2 linked regions of the Saccharomyces cerevisiae S288C genome follow. The gene in region 1 interacts genetically with each later gene. Each region holds a gene or a part of one and is shown in the gene's direction. Other genes may lie near its edges.

Region 1 (3,933 bases):
TCATTTTAATATAGGAAGACACCGCTCAGGTAATTCAATATTGAATCTGGTTGCACTTTTCTTACGATGTAAATACCCACAAACTTCTTGTACGGTGAGCGTCTGACAACGAAATCAATTTACGGAGCAAGGATTTTGACAGTAGAGCAGATTGTTTTGAGTAGGATTTAGGAATCAAGACCTCCATCTTTGTCGCATTATTCCTAAATGTAACGTAACTCGTTTGATAAGAGAATGTCTAATCGAAGAGAGTTAATAACTTAATAAGCTCTTTAAAAGAACGATGGCATTTATCGTCTCCTATGCCAAGATAATTACTGGCTCAAAATTGTTCAGCGTTCATAAAACTTTGATATCACTTTCTGGCGCACAAGCTAACCTTTATGTAGTTCTTACGTAGATTCTTTTTAGCAAGTGCCTGGTAGTGGTTATTACATAAATGTATCTTTTCATTTGATAACAATTTCTTCAGTAGCATGTCGTGTCTAGCACGTGACGTAGAACTGTGGCTTTTTTGTTGTCATTATGACAATCAAGATACCAAAATTCAGTCATGTTTAAAAGGGGAAGGTACGATAGAGATATATATAAAGTGTTCAATTTACTATAATTGCGTATAGAATCCATTGTTACTTGCTCTCAATGAAACAACGATTCATTCGTCAATTTACGAACCTAATGTCTACTTCGAGACCGAAAGTTGTTGCCAACAAATATTTCACTTCTAACACTGCCAAAGATGTTTGGTCGCTAACCAATGAAGCCGCTGCAAAAGCTGCCAATAACTCCAAAAACCAAGGCCGTGAACTTATTAATTTAGGCCAAGGCTTTTTTTCATATTCCCCTCCTCAATTCGCCATTAAGGAGGCTCAGAAAGCCCTAGACATTCCAATGGTCAATCAATATTCTCCAACTAGAGGTCGACCTTCATTAATTAATTCCTTGATTAAGTTGTATTCTCCTATTTATAACACAGAATTGAAAGCGGAAAATGTTACCGTAACAACAGGTGCCAATGAAGGTATACTTTCTTGCTTGATGGGGCTTTTGAACGCTGGCGACGAGGTTATTGTTTTTGAACCTTTCTTTGACCAATATATTCCAAATATCGAACTTTGCGGTGGTAAAGTTGTTTACGTCCCCATAAATCCTCCAAAGGAATTGGATCAAAGGAATACTAGAGGTGAAGAATGGACCATTGACTTTGAGCAGTTCGAAAAAGCGATTACATCCAAGACAAAAGCTGTCATTATCAATACCCCTCACAACCCAATTGGTAAAGTTTTCACGCGCGAGGAATTAACCACTTTAGGTAACATTTGCGTCAAGCACAACGTTGTGATTATATCTGATGAAGTCTATGAACACCTTTACTTCACTGATTCTTTCACTAGAATTGCCACACTCTCTCCAGAAATTGGGCAACTAACCTTAACGGTCGGTTCTGCCGGTAAATCGTTTGCTGCTACTGGTTGGAGAATTGGTTGGGTCTTATCCTTGAACGCAGAGTTGTTAAGTTATGCAGCTAAGGCACATACAAGAATTTGTTTTGCATCTCCATCCCCTCTACAGGAAGCTTGTGCAAACTCTATTAACGACGCTTTAAAAATTGGGTATTTTGAAAAAATGAGACAGGAATATATCAACAAATTCAAAATTTTCACATCGATCTTTGATGAATTGGGACTACCATATACAGCTCCAGAGGGTACATATTTTGTCCTCGTTGATTTCTCTAAAGTGAAAATTCCCGAGGACTATCCCTACCCAGAGGAGATCCTGAATAAGGGAAAAGATTTTCGCATTTCTCACTGGTTGATCAATGAATTAGGTGTGGTTGCCATTCCACCAACTGAATTCTATATCAAAGAGCACGAAAAGGCTGCTGAGAATTTGTTAAGGTTTGCAGTTTGTAAAGATGATGCTTATCTAGAAAATGCCGTAGAGAGATTAAAACTACTCAAGGACTACTTATAAGATAAATTTTTTTTTATACTCCTTTTTCTCAATATATAGATTTTATAAAGCATGTATATTTTTATGCAGAAGTGGTAAATATAAACATCAATATTCCAGAATAATTCCATATTTTCTTCGCGTACTACAAGAAAAAGTGAACCCTTAATGAAAAATAGACAATATGAACATTTAGTAATGTTTTGAACAGTGTATTTATAGAGTACTTAAACACATATGAAGATATAGCGCAAGTAAATATAAATGAGTGACAAATCTCATCAGATATATTGCTACTTTTGGCTCTTTGGTTTGATCAATAATGTACTTTATGTGGTAATACTTTCAGCAGCTGTTGATATCGTGGGTCCTACCTTGCCTAAATCTCTAGTATTGCTAGCAGATATATTCCCATCACTCGCCATTAAATTGTGTTCCCCATTCTTTATTGATAGAATCAAGTACAGCTATAGAATATGGTCTTTGATCACGATGAGTTGCTTAGGAATGTTCTTAGTTTCTTTTAAAAACTTGTTTGTTTGTCTTTTAGGAATATCTTTCGCATCTATATCTTCCGGATTTGGAGAAGTGACATTCCTACAGCTAACACACTATTACAAACAAATTTCTTTGAATGGATGGTCGTCAGGTACTGGTGGTGCAGGAATCATTGGCGGAGCATCTTATATGTTCTTAACTTCAATCTTTAAAGTTCCAGTGAAGCTAACTTTACTAGTATTTAGTCTCCTTCCATTTGCATTTTTGTTTTATTTTAAATTAGAATCCAATGATACCAACCTGACTTACCAAAGTCTTCAACAAATTGACGAAGCAGAGGATGACCAGTTGGTGCCCTTTCCTGTCGCCTTTACACATACCAACGCTTCGCAATCCCTGTATTCTACAAGACAGCACATTTTGCAAACGGTCAAGAGACTTCGAAGATTGGTTTTTCCATACATGGTTCCATTGACCACCGTCTACTTATTCGAATATTTAATAAACCAAGCGGTAGCTCCGACCCTATTATTTCCGATTAATGGTGATGAAAGAAGTAAATCGATGCCATTTTTCTTCCATAAATACAGAGATATATACGTAACCTATGGAACGCTCTACCAATTAGGTGTCTTTATATCAAGATCCTTTGGACATCTTATGAGAATGAGGAGTTTATACATCTTAGCGTTTTTACAAGGTGTGAATTTGTGCATAACGGTACTGCAATCATGGTTTTATGTCACACATTCGCCCTGGGCGGTGATGATATTAATATTCTATGAGGGTTTTCTTGGTGGTGCGTCATATGTTAACACATTCTTAAATATTCTCGAACAAGAGGATCCTGATGAAACAGAGTTCGCCATGGGTGCTGTGTCCATCGCTGATTCCTTTGGCGTTTTTTTGGCTGCGTTACTTGGTTTGGGGCTAGAACCCAAACTTTGTAGGCATCAAATTGCCGATGACAGACCTTGGTGTAGGATGGAATAAAGTTTTGTTGTGATATTAAATAGGAGATTGAAATAAAGTGTTAGATGCTTTCTATATACTCATTCTAATGCCTGCTAATAACTCTTCGATAATTCGTTGATTTCTATCATTACTTTGAATGGTACTCAATATGCCAAAACACTGCAGTAATGTCAATTTATCTGTTTCTGTGACATTACTTTCTTCTTCTTGATTGAAAATGTAAAGTTGAAAACTTTTGCTGATACCATCGTTACTATTTACGAAGTTTTCATAACAAGGTAAGACTATTGAATCTCTAAAGCACATAAGCAAAAGAAACCCAATAGAATAATTACCATTAATGTGAGTCCGACTTTCATTGCCTGACTTTAAAACCGTAGAATTACCATCTTCTCTGATACTCTGATCCAACGGTAATAACACAGCGGCTAAATCATAATATACCTCTTGATAAAATATCCGCCATATAACGCCTAATCTTTTCAATGCGTTATTTATTGTGTC
Region 2 (3,668 bases), on another chromosome or scaffold:
AATTTCGATTGTTTAACAATTTTCAGAACTTTAGTCAAGCTGTACCCTATTATGTACGTTATGGTTCCTTACGTTGTTTTTCTACAGAATGAACGGATTCCTAGCTGGTATACTGTCGTCTACTTGTACATAATCACAGGGATAAAAACATTTTGTGGCGCTTTAACGTCACCACAAATTATGTTATTAATTCATAATTCGAGTCCCTTGAGTTGTAGATCAGTCATCAATGGCGCCACCATTAGTATTTCTGCCTCTGCTCGTTTCATAGGTCCCTTAGTATGGGGCTATATTATGTCTTGGTCCCAGCAAAATGACGTCGCCTGGGTCAGTTGGTGGTCGTTAAGTCTTTTTTGTATGGTAGCTCTTTATCAAAGTTATAAGATAGCACCAATTGATGATAACGAAAATGAGCTTCATGGACAGGGTAGTGAAGATGCCTACAATTCGCAGTCACAGTCTTCTGATTTAAGAATGGCTCATCGATCTAGTTTAAGCAGCTTAAGTAACCAACGCTGTACCACATGAGAAATTTTTTTTCAGAAGGCTTGCAAAAAGGATATCTAATAAAAAAAAAAATGAACTCCAGTAGATTTTAGATATCAACCATAACTGGCGAAAATTTGCACCTTTTTGATGAGAGCATGTTATGTCAAGGCATGGCCGCGTGATGGCATTGCACTCAAGATAGTTTCCGGAATTATTATACTCCTTATGTAAATTTCAATCCGTTTATGTAATTATATCCAGGAACTCAATTTGACCAGACAAGTAATGGCGCCCATTTTGAGCGAGAGAACCCATTTTTCTATACAAATTTCACTAGAGCACGGCCGTTACATTTAGTAATAGCCAATAAGGGTTTTTTATCGATTAGTGTTCCCTGCGCTCCTTAACATCATACAACCGAGTACTTGACATGGAGATAGTAGGCAAGTAAACCAAAGTCCTTTCTTCAAAAGTAGAAAACTTGAGCACTTATTTCCTGCGCATGTCATATGTTAATTTTCCTCAACTGCGCTGAATACGTCCTGTCAATTCAAATATATCACGTTGTGAGCAGCCCTGAAGAAGAAAACCTCAACAGCAGTATTACTATTACAATCAAACAACTTTAGTGCCGCGTGATACCGGGGGTTGAAGTGGGTGCATTGAGCCGTATTCTTCTTCCCCGTAAGAAAGTTGTGTATCCTTTTTACTGCGTTGTAATAGCTTCTGAAAACCTAAAAAATGAACGCTATGTAGCTCATATCCGTTTTGCATAAGTAAGAATAACTACTTGTGCAGGGTGCCGAAAGGGATGGAAAACCGCTGCAGCAACCCTTGTTACATACAGTCGGATCCATCTGACTTACTTTCCTTGCGTCTCCCTGCGCGATTTTGTTGGCCATTTTCCAGATCCTCTAGAATTTTTCAAGGGTCGAGCCGTAGGAGGATTCTCTCAGAAGGCAAAAACGCATCGAAAGCGTGCTTTGTAAGAATATTTGGTATGGCTAAAGTAAGCAAAGCCATATCCCGATCCCGATCCCGACTCTTATTCCGATCCCTTCCGCCACATCCTGCATGTTTATTCGAATACCAAATTAGCTCATCTTCGTTATTTCATCATCCCTTTCTGCTATGGCAAGGACAAGTTTTTTTCTAGCATCTCATCGAAAACTTTCCTCTCCCTAATTGGCCAAAGTTTTCATATTCATCATCAGTTAGAAAGTATAATATCAATCCCTTACCTCATTACAAGTTGTATCACACTAAAAAAATCATATATAAGTCTGTGAGAGTCTTCAATTATTTAGCGTAACACCTATTCACTTTCTAATCTTGTTTCTTGTTTTTACATTCTGCAATACAACACAACAACAAATATTAACTCAATTATTATTATTTATAATTACAAAAACAAAACAACAAGTTTGAGACTTTAATATCTTTTGATTACTAAAAACAACAAATTTCAAATGAACGATACGCTATCAAGCTTTTTAAATCGTAACGAGGCTTTAGGGCTTAATCCACCACATGGCCTGGATATGCACATTACCAAGAGAGGTTCGGATTGGTTATGGGCAGTGTTTGCAGTCTTTGGCTTTATATTGCTATGCTATGTTGTGATGTTCTTCATTGCGGAGAACAAGGGCTCCAGATTGACTAGATATGCCTTAGCTCCTGCATTTTTGATCACTTTCTTTGAATTTTTTGCTTTCTTCACTTATGCTTCTGATTTAGGTTGGACTGGTGTTCAAGCTGAATTTAACCACGTCAAGGTTAGCAAGTCTATCACAGGTGAAGTTCCCGGTATTAGACAAATCTTTTACTCGAAATATATTGCCTGGTTCTTGTCCTGGCCATGCCTTTTATTTTTAATCGAGTTAGCCGCTAGTACTACTGGTGAGAATGACGACATTTCCGCCTTGGATATGGTACATTCGCTGTTAATTCAAATCGTGGGTACCTTATTCTGGGTTGTTTCGCTATTAGTTGGTTCATTGATCAAGTCCACCTACAAGTGGGGTTATTACACCATTGGTGCTGTCGCTATGTTGGTTACCCAAGGTGTGATATGCCAACGTCAATTCTTCAATTTGAAAACTAGAGGGTTCAATGCACTTATGCTGTGTACCTGCATGGTAATCGTTTGGTTGTACTTTATCTGTTGGGGTCTAAGTGATGGTGGTAACCGTATTCAACCAGACGGTGAGGCTATCTTTTATGGTGTTTTGGATTTATGTGTATTTGCCATTTATCCATGTTACTTGCTAATTGCAGTCAGCCGTGATGGCAAATTGCCAAGGCTATCTTTGACAGGAGGATTCTCTCATCACCATGCTACGGACGATGTGGAAGATGCGGCTCCTGAAACAAAAGAAGCTGTTCCAGAGAGCCCAAGAGCATCTGGAGAGACTGCAATCCACGAACCCGAACCTGAAGCAGAGCAAGCTGTCGAAGATACTGCTTAGAGCAGCTTGAGATTGTCTTAATCATTCTTTGCTTAACACATTTCAAAACATCAGTTTTCTTCTTTTAATGTCACTAATGAAACTTAATATTTAATAATCTAATTTTAATTTCTTTATGAAATATGCAAAATAAATTATATACACAAACACAATAATTAATAATCTAATCTCATTTTTCCAAAATCAAGAAATGTTCTTACTGCTTCCATGCCTGAATAGTCTAATCGATAGTAGGCCATTTCAATTCTTTTTAGTTATATGGAGACGCAAACACCACTTTATTTTAGCGTACCCTACCAAAATTAAACGATAATATGGTATTTTTATTCTCATTTGTTACACTCTATTCTGTATCACTGGATACATTCGCGGTAACTTGTTTTATAAAGTGAGATGGGATTTATGACCATTAGATGCATATAAAAGCTTCCAAATAATAATAAGATATTGTGACTTTTGGTGAACTAGATACGCTTTGAAATTCTTCATTTGTAATGAAGCAGGATTCACATTCAATATTTTGTAGCTTACAATTGTGAATGTTGCGTTTTCCTACTTTTTCCTTTCATTTTTCAAAGCATCGAGCATTTTTTTCATTTCTTCCAAACTCATCCTTTGCCTTTCAGGATTGATAATACTATTGTGTCTTTCCGTACTTTCTACCAAGTTCAATAACTCGCATATGTTTTCTCTTTGAGATAATAACTGAAA

The links.
Region 2: of YHC3 (region 1) and HSP30, changing one enhances a phenotype caused by changing the other (phenotypic enhancement), as found in Saccharomyces cerevisiae (one study listed by BioGRID).

What each region holds. Positions count from the first base shown.
Region 1 is NC_001142.9:322,744-326,676, forward strand, and holds YHC3 (amino acid transporter YHC3), read left to right. Parts: upstream 1-2,220; coding exon 2,221-3,447; downstream 3,448-3,933. Other genes in the region: BNA3 (kynurenine--oxoglutarate transaminase), read left to right, coding at 643-1,977; BIT61 (Bit61p), read right to left, coding at 3,499-3,933. UniProt on the Saccharomyces cerevisiae protein: Plays a role in vacuolar arginine transport. Involved in pH homeostasis. May be involved in ion homeostasis together with IST2. Not necessary for mitochondrial function or ATP synthase degradation.
Region 2 is NC_001135.5:155,398-159,065, reverse strand, and holds HSP30 (Hsp30p), read left to right. Parts: upstream 1-1,958; coding exon 1,959-2,957; downstream 2,958-3,668. Other genes in the region: YCR023C (uncharacterized protein), read left to right, coding at 1-528; YCR022C (uncharacterized protein), read left to right, coding at 1,301-1,645; HTL1 (Htl1p), read right to left, coding at 3,510-3,668. UniProt on the Saccharomyces cerevisiae protein: Probably cooperates with other heat shock proteins in the translocation of polypeptides through membranes. It may counteract the altering effect of heat shock on the plasma membrane.